Linked DNA regions of Arabidopsis thaliana. The main gene of each other region encodes a partner of the protein of the gene in region 2 in a complex. Each region holds a gene or a part of one and is shown on either strand. Other genes may lie near its edges. The genes, in order: CIB22 and MTACP-1. A codon is read from its position in the direction of its gene.

Region 1 (9,977 bases), on a different chromosome or scaffold from region 2:
TCCCGGCGTCATCACCAACTTCCGCCGCCGTTGTTGTTGACCGTTGGTCTCCGTCGCTCTCATCGTCTCTCTATCGAATCGATGGATGGGGAGCCCCTTATTTCATAGCCAATTCGTCTGGTAACATCTCTGTTCGTCCTCATGGCTCTGAAACTTTGCCTCACCAAGACATCGATTTGCTCAAAATCGTTAAGAAGGTGACGGGTCCGAAATCTTCCGGTGGTTTAGGATTGCAGCTTCCGTTGATCGTTCGTTTCCCTGATGTGTTGAAGAACCGTCTCGAGTGTCTTCAATCTGCGTTTGATTACGCGATTAAAAGTCAAGGATATGATTCTCATTACCAAGGTGTTTATCCGGTGAAATGTAACCAAGATCGATTCGTTGTTGAAGATATTGTCAAGTTTGGATCTTCGTTTCGATTTGGATTAGAAGCTGGTTCTAAACCTGAGATCCTTCTTGCTATGAGCTGCTTGTGTAAAGGTAGCCCTGATGCCTTTCTTGTGTGCAATGGATTCAAAGATGCTGAGTATATATCATTGGCTCTGCTTGGGAGAAAACTGGCGTTGAATACTGTGATTGTGCTTGAGCAAGAAGAAGAGCTTGATCTGGTTATTGAGCTGAGCCAGAAGATGAATGTGAGGCCTGTCATTGGGTTAAGGGCTAAGCTGAGGACTAAGCATTCGGGTCATTTCGGATCAACTTCTGGTGAAAAGGGTAAATTTGGATTGACTACTACTCAGATTGTTCGTGTGGTGAGGAAGCTGCGTCAATCTGGTATGCTTGATTGTCTCCAGCTTCTGCATTTTCATATTGGTTCACAGATTCCGTCGACTTCGTTGCTCTCTGATGGTGTCGCCGAGGCTGCTCAGCTTTACTGTGAACTTGTGCGTCTTGGTGCACATATGAAAGTTATTGATATCGGTGGTGGTTTGGGGATTGACTACGACGGGTCTAAATCTGGAGAATCGGATCTCTCTGTTGCTTATAGTCTCGAGGAGTATGCTGAAGCTGTTGTAGCTTCTGTTCGGGTTGTGTGTGACCGGAGCTCAGTGAAACATCCGGTGATATGCAGCGAAAGCGGTAGAGCGATAGTCTCTCATCATTCTGTGCTGATCTTTGAAGCTGTTTCAGCAGATAAACCAATGGTTCATCAAGCAACTCCCGGCGATATTCAGTTCCTGCTTGAAGGTAATGAGGAAGCTCGAGCCAATTATGAGGATCTTTATGCTGCTGTGATGCGTGGAGACCACGAAAGCTGCCTTCTTTATGTCGATCAGCTGAAGCAGAGGTGTGTTGAAGGTTTCAAAGAAGGTGTTTTGAGCATCGAGCAGTTAGCTTCTGTTGATGGTTTATGCGAGTGGGTGTTGAAGGCTATAGGCGCATCGGATCCGGTTCATACTTACAATATCAATCTATCAGTTTTCACTTCGATTCCTGATCTCTGGGGGATTGATCAGCTGTTCCCTATAGTTCCTATCCATAAGCTCGATCAAAGGCCCGGGGCTCGCGGAATCCTTTCAGATTTAACGTGTGATAGTGACGGGAAGATCAACAAGTTCATAGGCGGTGAATCCAGCTTGCCGTTGCACGAGCTGGACAAGAATGGCAGTGGAGGAAGGTACTTTTTGGGTATGTTCCTTGGAGGGGCTTACGAGGAGGCTCTCGGTGGAGTCCACAATCTGTTTGGTGGACCAAGCGTTGTCCGGGTCTCCCAGAGCGATGGACCACACAGCTTTGCAGTGACCCGAGCGGTGCCTGGTCAGTCCTCAGCGGATGTTCTCCGAGCAATGCAGCATGAGCCGGAGCTAATGTTTCAGACCCTAAAGCACCGAGCAGAGGAAATGATGCATACCAAAGGTGGTAGCGAAGGTGAAAATGAAGAGGAAGAAGAAGATGATGAGTTCAACAATGTGGCGGCTTCTCTCGACCGTTCGTTCCACAACATGCCGTATCTTGCAACTGAGCAGGCATCGCCAAGTAACTCTCTTTCAGCTGCGATCAGTAACCTTGGGTTTTACTACTGCGACGAAGACGTCTACGATTACATCTCTGCGTGAGAAAAGGTGGTCGTCGTGTGGTTTGTTGTTGCATTATATTATCGTAAAATCGTCATTGTACGATTTCTTTAAATAAAAGTTATTAAATAAGAACATGATGAGATCCATGATCCATCGTTGTTTAAGGTTTTAAGTAAGAAGATCCGAATTATGAAAGCCTTTTGTGAAATTCGGATCTTTTTATATTTATTTCCCCCTTCAAATGTAGCCGTTCCCGTTTTATTTATAATAATAATAATAAAAAAGTTTGACCACATAAAAGAAATAAATAAACGATGAATCGTGAATAAGTTGTTTTCAGTTTTCACTCTATAATAATTTTAAATAAAAAATATAAAAAATTGTCTAGTGGTATTTTTAACGGATCAGGTTCGCCGCATCTTATAACCGGCGTCGTGGGCCGATGTTGTTATGATGAGTGAAGAAGTGAATGTGACAACACACACAAGTATCACATGGAGATGTTAGATTCTGACATTTATGTGTTTTATCGACTGACATCTTTTATCTGTTAGGCTTTGGGAAGCGGTTAAATGATTATTTGATAATGTGGCTCATGATTGAGTGTTTTTAGCCGTATCTTGCATTATCGAATAGTGGTCTTTATTTTTAAGTCACGGCTTGGTGTGCAACAGGTTTCGTTTTACGTGGAGGTAATTTTTTGACATTATGCATATTCGAGATAACGTGTTGTTGTTTCCATTATACTTGTCCGGTTGTTGGCGATCGTGGAAAAAAAAGCATATAATACTGTAGAGAAAAAGGAAGGATTCAAATTTAAAGGTGAAAAGTTTGACGAATATGGTAATACTAAGCTTCATGTCGGTCAATTTGTAGATGATCGTTTCACTTTTTGGTGTGTTTTTATTAACATATATTGTATTCATAACTTATAAATATATTTATCATTCTTTCTTAGAATGATGAGAGAATCATTAAACCTTCCTCGAAATCTAAAACCTTTAAACGTCAAAGCTTAAGTGATTCACAATTCAACCAAAAACTGCAAAACATTATGTTCAATCTTGTTTCTACTAATCTTTGCTTCAAGCTCTCTATTTTCGTTTGCAAAATTGTAGCCGTTTCTTTTACAATGTAAGTGAAAAAGGGGCTAAGGTTGGTAGAATCCAATCCTATAACATCTTTGCTTTGAATTTCGCAATTTGGGTTTGGAATCGGCATTTACTTTTCCCGACCATGGTCCTCACCGAAAATGCCAAGTGTTACGTGACGACATCAATTTGCAGGGATCGGTCCCGATTCTCAAGTTGGATAATCGATTCCTATCTACCCAAAATTACCAATATGTGGTACAAGACTTCAAATTGTGTCTCTAACAGATTTGGAATGTGTTTATACGCTGCGTTTCCACAATTATTAAGGAAGACAAAGCTGATTATCAAAACAACAGAGACAGAAGAACAAAACCCTTTTTAGACGCAATGACGTGTAAAGGGAGAGTGAGATGAGATGTTGTTCGATTAAAACCTTCTCAAGATATAGCCTCCTCAAAGACCAGTATCGATTTGCAGCCAAGGTTGAAAAAAGAAAAAAAGACCACAATTTTGTTGTTTTACTGACAAGTTTTCATGGTCGAACATCCATGACTCAAGAGCAGCCGGAAATGTTTTAGATGAAAGATATAAACCAAGTTGAAACAAGAATTGTCTTACTGGAACGAAACATCTTTGAAAATAACAATTGGTCCCTCAAAGTTTCAACCTTGAAAGTCAGTTTAATTTATCTCCAAACCATAGCCACCGGATGCTTCAATCTGCAATATATAACAAACACCATTGAAACATAACGTCTTAGTGGTTCTACTGCGACATTTCGATATAATGAGGGACATTTACTAGAATGAAGGGAAACTATTGTGGATACAGCCTTAGCATTTGATAATTCTCTAACTTACTTTATTGATGGGTGTGACAATATGGAAGCTAGGTTTATTATGGGTTGTCTTCTAGACCATAGTTGTACACAATCTCAATCTGCATCAGTCACACACACAATAAAAGATCAGCAGTTGCGAAGAAGAAAGGTAGATCATGAAGAAAAAAGTGATAAGTGTTGAGAACAAAAAATTACCCCAGCAGGCGGAGTCGGGTTTCTACAGAACTTTGAGCCACCAGGAGCCCATGGAACTACAACAGAAAATGTGTGTCATTTAGTGTCCAATTCGGGAAGTGGACTACTCATGTTATCTAATCTACGAGGAATTCCATAAGCCTGACAAAGAGTTCTTGCTATCAAATCTACCACGATTCATATATGGGTCGAGACGCTTACCGATATAAGGATCAGGGTGCCGCCATTTGTTGTATTCTGCTTCACCATGAGCAATCAGTTTGTCGATTCTGTCGACATCCTCCTACAAATACCCCAATCAAAGGTATTAGAGCATTGATAAAGCCCAAGAATGACCAAATACAAGTTCATAAGCCCATGTAATCAGGTTTCTTAGCAAGATGAGGATTGCATCTCTCCTTCTTTCCCTTATGAAATATCAAATCTAAAATGAATTTGTTCCTGTTAACAATCTAAAGACTAATAATTTTATTTCCTTTGCACTATAAAAAGCTTTCATTAGCTATTTCATTTCACTCTTATTTTCTATGTTTTGGATCTAGCTTAACAATGCTCTAAAAGCTTAAATCCTACTAACTTTGAATTCTCCTACAAAAGGACCATATCAAGAGACAACCAAAGATGAGAGACTCAATGTACATTGTGGCAGTAGTTGAAAAAAGAATTTCATAATATGATTTTCAACTCCAGTTTAAAAAGGTACATCCTTTACTTGAATTCAATATTGGAATGATAATGAGTGGAATATGCAAACTCAACACACAAATCATTGAACAGCAATTCTATTTCCCATATCTCCTACCTATTCACTTTTTTTTTATAATAGCGAAGAACCTAAACAACTTAGCAAGAGAAAATCCAGTAGAGGTGTTTCCACAACAAAAGTCCCCAATTTTCTCATCCACACACACTTAGATGATTATGCTCATCATATCTCTAAAGTCTCTCTACCAAATTAAATGAAACAAAACAATATCAATTTCCATTTCTACGGATTATCAAACATTTTAACAATCAACAATGAAACAAGGCAAAGAGAGAGGTATGCAAAATGAAAGGAGAAGAGAACAAACCACATCTTGGTTGACATTGAACTTCTCACGCAGATCAGAAGCCTGAAAGGTAACGAAGATCAAATGGAATCAAAAACCAAAATGAGAGATCGGTAAAAAATCAAAAAGTCCATGTCCGATTCGGAGATCTGAGGAAAAGACTTACGTCACGGTAGAAGATATGGCGATGAACAGCCCAATTGAGAGTATCCTTAAGGGCACGACGGTAAAGGATTCGAACTCTCTCCTTCTGAGCCGCTCGCCGCGCAAAGTACGCCGCCGTCGAAACTCCGCTCATTTTTGTCTTCCTGATTCCGATTGATTTCGAGTCTCTCTACACTCTTTTCATCTTTTACAGTGGAAAACCTTCTGTTTCCGTTGGAGGGACCGAGAAGAAAATTTCAAATGGGCCTTTGATTAGAGCTTGAATTAAGACAAAAATCGGCCCATTAAAAAAAGAAGGAGGTAAAAACAAACTCCGTTGCCGGGACTCGAACCCGGGTCTCTCGGGTGAGAGCCGAGTATCCTGACCAGCTAGACTACAACGGACTGTTGATACAGTCAAAGAAATAAATTATTTAACACTACGTATCTGTCTTTTCATTATACACTCACTTTTCCCAAAAAAAATTCACTTACTCCACCATTCGATAATAAAAATTATAAGTACTCAACAAAAAATCTAAACTTCAAAATTATCAAACTTTTTTTTTTTCTTTTAAGGATTACTCAACTTGATTTCGTGATTAGACTAAGCGTGAACAATAAAGAGCTGATTTGGTTGAATATATATGACACAAATTTTGCACGAATCAAGTTTAACACTTATCGTGGTTCAAGTTTTTCATTTTTATAGTTTTTTATTGTTTTTATATTATGTATGTTTAGAATTTTAATATTTCTAATAATTATTATGTTTGGTGAAATATATTATAATATTATATATTTATTTTTTTAAAGAAATCCACTTAAGAATTCCACCATTGAACAATAAAAAATATAAGGATTCAACAAAAAATTTAAACTTTAATTTATTCAAAATTTAGTATTATAAAATTGTAAGGAGTTCTAATGATGGATCTGGTGAAAAAAAGAGTGATGATGATGGATCCGGTGAGAAAAAGAGCAATGATGGATCCGGCGATGGGAAAAAGAGTGATGATGGATCCAGCAATAATGACGATGATGATTACACACCTAATGACGATCCACAATCGACATGGTTCAAGGTTTTTAAACTTTTAGCAACTAGGCTTCATTACATCGGGGTCAAGAGATCATGCGAGAGGAGCGTCAAACGCAAATGGAAGTTTCTCAAATTTATCAACATATCTCAAGCTAAGAAGCTTCAACTACTGGCTAAAGCTAAAGGGAAGGAGCATCAAACTTTTGTGGAGTACACTTGCCTAGGTAAGGCCTCCAGAGATTTCTCACAAACCTATACCTCGTTTCTCACTTGGTGTTTCTTTGGCTCTCTTACTTGCATCTCCTTCGTTTGGGGGTTATGGAACACCTCTAAAACGGATAGAAGCCTAGCCGACTTGTGGTTGGAGATAAACAAGAAGAGTGTGGTTATCCATGAGTTTAAGAAAGAGATGAGTGCCAAAAATGCTCTCTACATGCACCGGCTTGATGAGATTACAAAGGTTGCAAAGCAAAATCAGGAAGATCTTCAAAAGATCGTGGCACTTCTCGTATCTAAAAAGTGAAAGATGGGTTTAGTTTTTGGCTCTTTCATTTTGTTCTTGTTCTTACGAGAATGATTAGATTTATATCAATATCTTTATATGCTAAGAAACCTCTCACATTTTGTGGATGAACACTCTCTTTTGCTGCTTCATGTTTTAACTTGGATGTTTTCTTTTGTCTCCTGCTTATTCCCAAGCAAGCATACTAAATAAACTCTCTTTTTGTGTAGATACATGTAGCTTTATAGTCAACTTATTTTGAGTATGACACAAAGTAGCAATAAAACGGAGACAAGGCCACATAAACACATTAAAAGGATGTTTCCCTTAAAGATTGATATGCAAATGGTGAGATTAAACAATTATGCGGCAGACATAGCATCATACATTTGCCTAAATTTACTTTCATGGGGATTTAACGAAATCGTTTATCTACGATTAGCCTGAAAATTAACCTTTAGTAATTCGATATGTATAAATTAATTACATACCTAATTTTTTTTTTTGCTGAATAAATGTCTAAATTAATTATGCTTGCATCGATTATCAAATAAATATGTCGAATCTCAAGATTTATCAATAATATATATACTATATAGTAATGTTGGAGTTTTCAAGATGATTCTTCCATTTGGCATTTTGTTTACTCAAAAAGTCTATTTAAGCCACTACACATGGACCAAAATCATTCCAAGTACTAGTAGTGGTGGTGGTGGTCTTACATCATTAAAAACACACATTAATTTTGTTTATAGAAAACCATTGTTTACTTAAGACTAGTTCCTGAAACAGTTTCAAAATGTTAAGAAGCAAGTTGTTAAATTACAACACTACAGATAATGTTACAAAAAGTAGGTTTTACCTAAGTCTTATCTACCACTTGCTGCCAAATTTGACTGGGTCTGATTTAGTACTAGCTTCACCTGTTTCTTCACCCAACTCTTTACTCTTTCTTAATTCCAGAACCTTCCTATGAAGATTTGAGTGAATCTCATTCGAGAACGTCGGACTATCCGCCGGTCTGTATTCCGGGCAGAGCCTACCAGACTTAAACCGGACTCCACATGCATTACATAAGGTTTTTGGACCGACCGGACCGGTTCTCCACTGTGGTGTGTTGTTTGTGCCACAATGGCTGCATCTTCGTTGAAACACAAGGACAGTTTCTTGTTTCTTCTTCCTCAACTGCTCTGTTGCTGCATGTTGATGATTGGTTGAAACGAGTGGCCAAACACGACTACCGGTTAAACTGTTCCGAGACCGTTTGGTTCTTGGTTTAACCGGAATTCTTGAGAAGCTTGGTTTGGTTTTATGTGTTTGTGTTAAGAGAAGTGAAACTTCTGGTGATGAACAATCATCCACAACACGAGATACCCATTCAAGCTCTTCCACATCTTCATCCTAAAAATATCCCAAAAAAAAAGAAATCAAGAAAAATATAACTTAAAATCTTTCGATTATAAGAAGAGAAAGAAAAGGTATAAAGAAGTTTAGAAATTTACCGGCAAAGAAGGAAGTTGATCAAAGATGCAAGGTTGTGAACTAAAGACACAATCATGTTCTTGTTCTTCTTGCTCTTGTGAAGAAGAAACAGAGACAACTTCTTCTTCTTCTTCTTTTTGACCTTCTGAGAAATCGAGGAAACACTCAACGGAGAAATCTTCCGGCAAGGAAGAAGTTCGGCTTAAATCTTCCGACACAATCACTTGGTGATGTTTGAGAGATATAGTAGATTCTCCTCTTAGACTTGCCTTTAAGGCTCTAGCTTCTGTCCACAGCTCCATTCACTCTTTAACACATACACACATACATATAGAATTCTTTTTAAGTTTCACTTGACATACTCTGAATTCTCAACTATTACAACAACCATAAACATACGAAAATAGGCTTAAAACTAAAGTTTATAACCTATAACAAAGTCGGCGCATGCAAACTTTCGAGAAACTAAAAAGATGAGAAGAGGAGAGAGGTATGTGGGATATGCTCATCGTATCTCTTTACCTGACAAAGACGAAGAAGAAGGAGAAAAGCTGAGAGAATGGCGAAGAAACAGAGGAAGAGAGATATTCCGATAAGAGAAAAGTAAGAGGGCACTGAACTTAAAGGAGGATTCTTGAAGGGGTTAAAAGGTAAAACAGAGACTTTTTTTTTGTGTGTGTTTGTGCTTCTTCCAATTCCAAAAGTTAAAGCTCTTTTTTCCTATCTTTTTTTTTTGTTTTCTTTTCCCCTAATTTCTAAGTTTGTGGAATATTACAAAATCTTCTTTCACGAATGATACTATATTGGTATTTCAGAATCAATGCTTTTCCTCTTCTTTATTTGTCTCTTCATTTTCGTGTTAAACGGTGTGTCCTTTATTTCAATGTAAAATATGGATCAGCTTAATAAAAGATCAGGATCAAGTCTAATCCACTCGCCTCTATATTTCATTTAAAGCTCACAAGACTTGTTAAGAAATTGTTTGCATACATGAAAAATTAATTGATTATTCAATTTTTGTATTTAGAAGAAAATAAAAGAGATAAAAAAAAGTGATGATTTCTTTTTATTTTCACGTCAGGATTTGTTTTATTTTCTCCAAATTTCTTTGGACCTAATCAATGAGTTCTTTACGTGGATGTTTTTGGCGTGGGCTTATCCTTCGTCACATATTGATAAGTCAGGTCTGTTTCGCATTATTCAATACAAATTTGATTGTTTTTATTATAATTATTGTGAAGGGTTATATCATGATGCTGTGTTCCTTGTCCATGCCAATTTAGCTTGTCTTGTCAAAAGGGTTGACCATTTCTTCTTAGGAAATGTTGAAACATTAAGTTTTACAATGGTGATGAATTTGTTATTTCATAGTACTAACATTAACAATTTAATAGTATACATGCACAATATTTTGCTTGTCGTGTTAAAACTAGTATTATTGAAAGTCACCGATTAAACCTGTGATCTTTTTTGAAAATTTTAAAAATTTTGATATCTAACTAAAGGACCAAATGAAATTAACAAAGTGATAAGAACAATCCAATAATAGCTCAATTCTATACTAATACAATAATAGCTCAAAATTTAATAAAATACAAAGCATGAAA
Region 2 (8,849 bases):
GAAAATTCCAAACAAAACTAATCACATGTCTCATCAAATCCAACAATGTCAACACTATTTCACCAGTTTGATTCAAAGTCTCAACCTTTAAAGCATTACTCGCTCACAATTTTGTAAATTATTGAAGAGGTTAAGAGCATTTACCAGTTGTTAGAGGAAGGACTGAGCAAGAGAGAATTGAGAGAGAAAGAGCCGAGTCTCTTGTCAGAAGCAGGAGCCAAAGAAGGAATGATTCCAAGAGGAAAGCCTTCGCGAAGCAGAGAGAGCTGTTGAATCCGGTGAGAGCGGCTTGCTCGTGCTCCGTCTAAGGGAAATGGCTCACCGGGAACAGAGCGAGCAGTGCCTTCAAGGGTTTGAGGTGAAGAAACGTTCTGATCCCAAAACACTGAATCAATAGCTGAGTTAAGATTCGCCATTTTCTTCTTCCTCTTCTTCTTTCCTTATCTCAGTCTCTCCTGTGTACGAAGCTGGGAGACAAAGGGGGTTTAAGCATTTTCATGGGCCTTTTCTTCACCCTTTAATGGGCCTTGTTTTAAAATCGATTCCTTAGAAAGATTCACTCACCGGGCTTATTCCTGGGCCTTATTCTAAAACTCTGTGTGTTTCCCTGATCAAGACAAGAAATATAAACCGGTTTTAACCGATTAAAGCAGAATCAGAGAAGAATTTAACCGGCTTTTGGTTTTTGGCTAAAGCCCTCAATTTGATTGATTCACTCAGTTGTTCTCTAGTCTCCTCCTCCTAATAGCTCTCGATGTCTAACGCCGACGAACCACCGCAGAAAACCAACCAACCACCGTCGTCTTCATTGACGCCGCCGTCATTGTTCTCACTCCCGGTGGACATCGTATTGAACATCTTAGCCTTGGTACCAAAACGATATTACCCAATCCTCTGTTGCGTCTCCAAGTCCTTGCGGAGTCTAATTCGCTCGCCGGAGATTCACAAGACGCGATCTTTACACGGAAAGGACTCTCTTTATCTATGCTTCTCGACCAGAACTACATACCCGAACCGGAACCGGACGACTTTTCACTGGTTCACTCTCCGGAGGAATGATAACAAGATGAATACGACTGAGAATGTCTTCGTCTCCATCGATGTTCCTTATCGTCCCGGGCATGCTTCTTACCCTCTTTCCAATATCGCAATTGATACAGAGATTTACTGCATTCCCGGATATAATTTTCCCTCATCATCAATCGTATGGATCTTTGACACCCAATCTGGACAGTGGCGTCAAGGACCTAGTATGCAAGTGGAGCGATTATCAGCTACCGTAGGACTAGTCGGTGGTAAGATCTATGTGATCGGAGGCAACAGAGGCGAAGAGATCCTAGCGGAAGTATTTGACTTAAAGACACAAACTTGGGAAGCAGCGCCGATTCCTAAGGCAAAGGATAGAAACGAATGGTTCACGCATGCAAGTGTTTCACTTGATAGGAAGGTTTATGCTTTAAATTCGAGGGAATACATGAATTCTTACGATACTAGAGATGGTTCTTATCAAAGATATACGATACCTGAAGATAATTGGTGGAAGACAGGAAAATGCGTGATTGACAATGTGCTCTTCGTTTACTTCCTTAGATTTGGGTTAATGTGGTATGACTCTGAGCTGATGTTGTGGAGAGTGGTTTATGGTTTAGATCTTGACAAAGCTCGATGCATTGGGATCGGGGAATACTACGGAAAGTTGGCGTTTATATGGGGAAAACCAAGTAATGTTAGTGAAAGCAAAGAGATTTGGTGTAGAATGATTGGCTTGCTTAGGAGTGAAGTAGGAATTCATGGAACTGAAGAACCGTCTCAACTTCTCAGAATCGTTCCTAACAACTATAGTTTGCGCCATTGTCTGTCTCTTTCGGGTTAAACTTAATCAAGAGATATATTGTTGACGTTAGATGTTTATTTAGTCTTTCTTTAGTCATTATGATCAATATCACTACAATGTGTTTACAAGATTCATTGCTGTTGCGGTTTCAGCATCTTGCTTTGTTCCTTCCACCCTATCCATTTTGCATAATTAGCTTAGCAAGTTTTTAATATTGTAAGTTCACCCATTTTGTCCCATTTACTAAAAAATCGATTCAAACGAAACCTGAAATGTATCTCCTAATTAAAACATCTAACTTGTGGATAGAGATATTGGTGTATTTTGGTACAAATGCTGTAGTTGAGATGAAGCAGAAAACTTGTCCAAATGAAAACTACTGTCTGTATTCGATCCAAAAGATGGCTGACAAACAATTCTAGTTAATAGCACGTTATGATGTAATGTAGTATATAAGATCCAATTTCTTGGTCTTGCATATGTATCCAAGAGAGACGATCAGTTTTTTAAAACAAGTATGTTTTTCAAAGATTCGTCTTCAATGTATGATCAAGACCATGCTAAGAATCAAGTGTATTATATACAAATCGTATTAAAGTATTAACTCAAGAAAAAGTGTCAACTTTCACAAGATTCAAGCAAAAAGGTTTTCTTTTTAAGAAACTGGAACCGTTAAAAGAGTCAATAACAATGCTCTCCAAATAAAAGTGATTTTTTTGCAAATCCCATTATGGCATTATCAAAGAGAGAAGAACCTCATACAAGAAAAAGGAAGGAGAAACCATGAGAGAGCACACAGCGATTAGCTAGACATTGGATGATTGTAAACGTATTCAATGGCGAGAGAGCAAGAATCGATCTTGTCAGCTTCTTTGTCTGGAATTTCCAGCTTGAATTCCTCTTCAATAGCCATCACTATCTCCACTGTGTCCAAACTATCTAATCCCAAATCGTTTTGGAAATGAACCTCAGGAGTCACCTGTCGATATTTATCACAAAGCCATCAACAAAAATAACCCTAACCAAACAACCCTTATTAGAGAGAGTTGATGAAGGATTCATAAATGCAAAATCCATAAGAATGACCATATCAAATCAAATCCATAGGAACAACAACACGATAAGCTACACTTACTAAACCACATTGAGATCAATAACCTTCAATTTACTAACAACACTAATGCAACATCGTTTCAGATACATTTGGTCTCTATTTCCACTAGATCAATACGAAATCAACCAAAAGCTCCTACATTGACAAATATTCAAGGCAAAATAATCATTTTGTTCCCAATAATGAGGAAAACAAAAGATAAGAATCACGATTTGGCCAAATTTTATGAAGATCGAGCTGACCTTAGAGGGATCGACTTTGGGGAAGCTCTTGACAACATCGAGTACTCTATCGACGACAGCTTCTCTGCTAAGATGATCATCGTGCGAAGAAAATGACCGGATCGTACCAAGGAACCCAATTTTAGACTGATTCAATCCTAGGGTTTGCACCGGAACCCTCAGGTGACGAAGAATTGCATTTCTCAGTGCCATTTTCGTCTCTTTCTTCGAGCTCGAGAATTAGGGATTTGATTTGATGAGAGAGACACAGAAGAGTCAAGTAGCCAAAAGGGGCAAAAATAGTTCAGGTCATACGAGATGACACGTGCCCCCTACTATAAGGCTAGCCCAAATCCTTACGTGGGCTTATAAATGCTGCCCATAATGTAGTAAATTCCTTAATCAGCTTCTAAGTTTTTATATATTTTGTAACTTATCTCAAATAGTTTCTAATTTAACATAAATGACCCAATTGGGTCACTCGAGGAATAAACTGCAATTTACGAATAACAAACTCTCACTAATACAGTATTTGCAATTCCAGAGCGACGGGATCTCTCTCCGGTAAATATCGGAAACTTTTATTCTCAGCAAAGCGAGATCTCGACGTTTCTCAGATCCGTCCGGCGAGTTAGATCCTTGAGAAATCATGGCTCCGGTCTCGGCACTCGCTAAGTATAAGCTGGTGTTTCTGGGAGATCAATCCGTCGGCAAAACCAGTATCATTACTCGATTCATGTACGACAAATTCGACAACACTTACCAGGTAAATTTCCATTGTTCAAATCTAGGTATTATCTCGACGATGCACGACGTTTGCTTCTATTTTGAGGGATTATAGTCGGGAAAATCCCAGGGTTTGATTGATTTTGAGATCCGTTTTCATGGACGGGAATCGTGTTTTTCAGTTCGAAGTTCTTACTCGTTTACGTGATCGGGCGTTTGGTTTTGCGTAATTATGTGTGATCTGATTTGTAGATCGTGTTTTAGTCAATGTATAGGACGTAACAATCAGCTGAATGAGATTTTGGCATCGTAATCGCTCACTCTCGTTTATTGTACAAAGTCGAGAATTCAGTCCAATAGAAGATCGCAGTAACACTAATATGAGGATGTTTCTTTGATCATGTTATCATTGTTTATCTAATCGAATTAGTTCTCAATTGATGAATGAAAGCATCTGATCTTGTTCTGTGATTATGAGAATTACGTTTAAGCTCCTAATAATATGTGAACCATGCTTGCTTATCGTCATTTTACAGAATGTTCTTCCTTTTCTAAGTAGTTTTTATGTTGTTTCATAATCATCAGGCCACAATTGGTATTGATTTTCTATCAAAGACAATGTACCTTGAAGATCGAACGGTCAGACTTCAGTTGTGGTAAGATCTTGAGCCTCTTTCAATTTTCGAATACTGAAGAATAACATTGCAGATCATTTTTTGATGATTAACATCGAGAGCCGAAATCATATGACAGGGATACAGCTGGGCAAGAGCGATTCAGGAGTCTAATTCCGAGCTATATCAGGGATTCCTCCGTTGCTGTTATTGTGTATGATGTTGCAAGTATGTGTACCTTCACTCGTTCTCTCAAACACATGAATATTTTCCCATATCTGAGATCTTGGGGATGTGGTTTTCAGTAATCTTATGAATTTATGCGTTTCGATTTCTTCTTTATGTTGATCCATTGTGCGTTGTGAAACTCGAGATTTATTTTGTTTTCCACTGACATATAGGCAGGCAGTCCTTCCTAAACACTACTAAGTGGATCGATGAGGTTAGGACAGAACGTGGTAGTGATGTCATAGTCGTGCTTGTGGGAAACAAAACTGATCTAGTGGACAAAAGGTAATAATGATCTACCATCTCTTCCTCTACTTGTTTCTTGTTAAACCATGATGTGCAAATTACTGTTCAATAGCAATTGAGACTGAAATTTGGTAGTCCTCCTTGTTTAAACACGCTCTGATTTCGTAAGTATGTTGACAAGACGAATGGGTGTCTTTTTTGTTTTACTCAAGTACAAACTGTTGTTAAACCACGTCTTACTTTTCTGGTGGTATTGAGTATGTTGCCAAACGACCCTACAAGATAATAAATGGAAAATCATTTGCTGCTCAACTGCATATCTTTACAGGGTTTCTTTATAGTCAACACGCTTTGACACTTGATGGTGCCTACTACATTTGTTACTGCCAATTGGGCCTTTGTATTAAATATTTTGTTTCTCAGGCAAGTGTCAATAGAGGAAGCAGAAGCTAAGGCACGCGAACTTAATGTAATGTTCATCGAAACCAGTGCCAAAGCGGGCTTCAACATTAAGGTAACAAAGATCTTGGCTTGACACATTTCTGAGGGTTTCTTGCACAACAAAAACTTGCTGCTTAGTTCAACTAAGCCCTAACTTTGTTTAGTTCCATCAATATTCAATAGTTAATTAACCTAGACTTATAAATTTTTAACCCAACCTGCTGATTATTACATCCTCCTCATTTGTATGGATCTTTCACTGATACTCTCTAAACAATTACCGCAAATCCATAACGCTATCACTCCGTGCAAATCTTGTTTTCTTATGATTTCAAACCTTTTTGTATTGCTAGGCGCTCTTCCGCAAGATAGCAGCAGCTTTGCCGGGAATGGAGACATTGTCTTCAACAAAGCAAGAGGATATGGTTGATGTCAATCTCAAGTCTTCCAATGCAAATGCATCTCTCGCTCAGCAGCAATCAGGAGGATGCTCTTGTTAGATTTGGCAACAACAACACAACAACAAATCGATAGAGAACAACAAAACACACTACTAAAAAATGTCCTCAAGCCCCTTTGCATGATTCGATCAGTTATCGTCTTCCATCTGTAAAATTTTTGCCTGTTTTTCAACTTTTTTTCTTCATCGGATTGTTTTTAAAGAAGACTCTGTTTTAGCTATGGTTTGTCCCTAACTGTGATCTTTTGTGGTCTTTGGAGTTTCAAATGCTCGCTGCTTCAGTACTTTTGTTTACTTATTTCTCAAAACTGTGATTTGTCGGTCTATGAATTTAATTATGTATAACTGTGAGCTGCTAGGTAATAAAAACTCTCATTTCGTTTCGTCTTTCCATGTGATAGTCTGATAGAGAAAGAAGCACAGCATTTTTAATCTTTGACCCATAAAGAAACAGATAATTAATTTCGTACACATGTCGTTAGTTCAGATCACTTAAATGAGCTAATTAAATTCAAAGTCTCACACTGTTCCCAGGTATTTTTCTCCAGTTCCACCATGTCCCTAAAATTAAGCTTCTCTCATCGTAAAAAGCTCTGGTGGGTTAATGCAGTTGGAGTATACTCAGCAATTCTATCCCAAATAATGTGTATACTCACTTAATCAGCAATAATCACTCGTAACGATTTTATGGAACTAAGTTAGTGGAATGAGTTTTTTTGTAATTACTTATTATGAATTTATGACATATCCTTTTGAAAAAGAAAAAAAAAAACAGAAACTTGTACGATTGTTTTTCTTTCATTGCAGCTGAAAAGTATTGTCATATTTTTGAATAGTCCAACCAAGCTATTTGAAAATTTTAATGACACTATATTTCATAATTATATTGTCATCAATCAAATCCTCATACATAGTACCAACTAATAGCTAAAAATTACATAACACTTGTGCTTTATTTGAATTTTCCCACTAACTCATCAAACGCATAATTCGCAATAATGACCATAATTAAAGATAGACCCCTTCAAAAAAAAAAAAAAAAGAATGAGTAAGTTGAAATCAATGAAGATGTAGGTGAGAGGAGATGGTAGAGCCACGAAAGAAACACTATTTCAATTCTCCCCTCTCCAACAAAAGCCCCCATTCATTAAATGCCAACTTCCCTTTTATGACCGTTAATGCTCTCTGTAAGATGACAAATTACAAATAAGTCCTCAGAGTCATACTAGTCTAATTTTCGTTATATTTATAATACTCTTTCACGACTATGGACCCATGGAATTTAAATCTTAAATTGGTCCTACTTCCGTATATTTGTATTAAACTCTTAGTCTTTACTCTTTTTAAACCTTTGAAACTCTCTTAGACGGTACTTGGATCTTCATAAAAGTCGTCTATCTTTCGTCGAAATTGAGACCTATGTTATTAGATCTATATGCCCACTTTTTCTCTAGCTTTCTTTATTAGGTTTTTCATGTGTCTGGTTAGTAAGTGAGACTAGTAAATTGGATTTGTGAATGGTTCTTTTTGACTTTGCCAATGTCTAAGACTTAAGTGTTGTCAGATTTTGTTTCTCTAGATTAAGAGAAACACAAGGGTATGTGTCACATTTATTATCACCAACAAAGCATTGATTTTTTTTTTTTTAGATTTGAAAACTTCAAAAATAATAGCAATGTATTACAATTCTGACATGAACTAGTCATAGGTTTACTTCTTCTACTATCTGTCATTTTTTGATGTGTACACCCAAAAATTCTCATAAGAAAAAAAGAGATACACATTAGACTATCCAAAGAAAAAGAAAACACACGACATTGTTCTCTTCTAATCTCCTAAATATAAAAACGAATATTTCTTCCTTTAATATACAATCACAAAACATTATAATATACTGTAATGAATAACCAAAAAAAAAGTAAATTCACTCTTTATCTGTTGGTATAGTAAAGCCACACCATATGAATCTTGTGAAGGGTATTTTAGGTAATTTCACAAAGAACGGTCAGATTTTGACCTCAACCAAAAAAATCAACGGCGGTGATCAACTCTACCTAAATCCACAAGCTTCTTAGACCGGTTACCGCAAAAAGACGCCGCCGTTGATAGGTGAGGCTTCGCCGGAGATTTCAATTCACCGGAATATCCAAAATCCGGCGGAAATTTCGCTTTCCAGTTAGAAGAACAGTTAGGTTTAGCTCTCACTAATGGACTTAAGCAAAAAGCCATCCCTGATACACTTCTACCAATCCCAATCGTCGCCGTCTTTTTCCTTCCCGGAGTTCCCATCACCGGCGTTCTTCTTAATCTCCCTGGAGATTCCTCAACTGATTCATCGTTCGTCGTTGAATCTCCCGCCGGCGACATTCCTCTACAATATCTCTGTCTAGGTCGATTTTGATTATGATGATGATGATCGGATTCGGAAGCGATCAAATCTTCGATGTAGCAAGTATTGGTGGTTGATTGTTTCTTCGATCGAACTGATATAACCTTCGAAAACCATGACCGTGAAGTCGTCGCCGACGACGGTTGAGAAAAAACCGTGGAGGCGTCGCATGAATCGCGACGCGAATCGTAATCGTCAGATCTCGTTCTGAAGAAGCTAGAGAATCTAGATAAACCGCTTTTTTTCTTCTTAAACGATCTGTCTGATTCGAAGACTTTTTCCGATGACGATGATTGAACAACCACTTGCGGCGTTGCGAAGAATCGGTTATTAGAAGAAGCTACGGAGTCTCTTCCTCCAGCTCCGGTTCCGGTTCCGGCGTCGGATTTTCTAGGAGCAACGTAAGGAGAAACAGAACGAGGAAAAAGCAGAGGAGGTGGAGAAATACGAGAATGACGATGATCGTTATCGTCGTTTTCAGACGCGGCGGTTGAAACGGCGAGAGTAAAGAGTCGTTCACGGAGACAAGAAGCACAAACGCCGATACTGCTACTGAAATCTACTGTGTGTCTCTTA

What was found.
Region 1: the proteins of MTACP-1 (region 2) and CIB22 are in contact, whole or in part, in a cryo-EM structure (PDB 8BEH), measured with the Arabidopsis thaliana proteins. Residues at the interface, in NP_181990.1 of Arabidopsis thaliana: Asp78 (codon at 2,774), Ser79 (codon at 2,771), Leu80 (codon at 2,768), Asp81 (codon at 2,765), Val83 (codon at 2,759), Glu84 (codon at 2,756), Val86 (codon at 2,750), Met87 (codon at 2,747), Glu90 (codon at 2,738), Glu91 (codon at 2,735), Lys94 (codon at 2,726), Leu95 (codon at 2,723), Glu96 (codon at 2,720), Ile97 (codon at 2,717), Asp99 (codon at 2,711), Lys100 (codon at 2,708), Ala102 (codon at 2,702), Asp103 (codon at 2,699), His118 (codon at 2,654), Met120 (codon at 2,648); in NP_567970.1 of Arabidopsis thaliana: Glu18 (codon at 5,447), Arg21 (codon at 5,438), Ile22 (codon at 5,435), Tyr24 (codon at 5,429), Arg25 (codon at 5,426), Arg26 (codon at 5,423), Leu28 (codon at 5,417), Lys29 (codon at 5,414), Leu32 (codon at 5,405), Arg38 (codon at 5,387), Phe41 (codon at 5,378), Arg49 (codon at 5,251), Phe52 (codon at 5,242), Asn53 (codon at 5,239), Tyr84 (codon at 4,356), Ile85 (codon at 4,353), Val86 (codon at 4,350), Pro87 (codon at 4,202), Trp88 (codon at 4,199), Ala89 (codon at 4,196).

Annotation. Positions count from the first base shown.
Region 1 is NC_003075.7:16,552,395-16,562,371, reverse strand, and holds CIB22 (LYR family of Fe/S cluster biogenesis protein), read right to left. Parts: upstream 5,635-9,977; 5' UTR 5,499-5,634; coding exon 5,367-5,498; intron 5,264-5,366; coding exon 5,222-5,263; intron 4,432-5,221; coding exon 4,350-4,431; intron 4,205-4,349; coding exon 4,149-4,204; intron 4,052-4,148; coding exon 4,010-4,051; 3' UTR 3,973-4,009; intron 3,832-3,972; 3' UTR 3,338-3,831; downstream 1-3,337. Other genes in the region: ADC2 (arginine decarboxylase 2), read left to right, coding at 1-2,057; AT4G34690 (uncharacterized protein), read left to right, coding at 6,275-6,283, 6,295-6,909; GATA3 (GATA transcription factor 3), read right to left, coding at 7,762-8,289, 8,391-8,672. UniProt on the Arabidopsis thaliana protein: Accessory subunit of the mitochondrial membrane respiratory chain NADH dehydrogenase (Complex I), that is believed to be not involved in catalysis. Complex I functions in the transfer of electrons from NADH to the respiratory chain.
Region 2 is NC_003071.7:18,408,853-18,417,701, reverse strand, and holds MTACP-1 (mitochondrial acyl carrier protein 1), read right to left. Parts: upstream 3,502-8,849; 5' UTR 3,383-3,501; coding exon 3,191-3,382; intron 2,814-3,190; coding exon 2,637-2,813; 3' UTR 2,367-2,636; downstream 1-2,366. Other genes in the region: AT2G44640 (TRIGALACTOSYLDIACYLGLYCEROL-like protein), read right to left, coding at 145-416; AT2G44630 (Galactose oxidase/kelch repeat superfamily protein), read left to right, coding at 755-1,873; RAB6A (Ras-related small GTP-binding family protein), read left to right, coding at 3,819-3,935, 4,481-4,551, 4,649-4,737, 4,911-5,022, 5,407-5,497, 5,778-5,924; AT2G44600 (uncharacterized protein), read right to left, coding at 7,916-8,849. UniProt on the Arabidopsis thaliana protein: Carrier of the growing fatty acid chain in fatty acid biosynthesis. May be involved in the synthesis of short and medium chain fatty acids.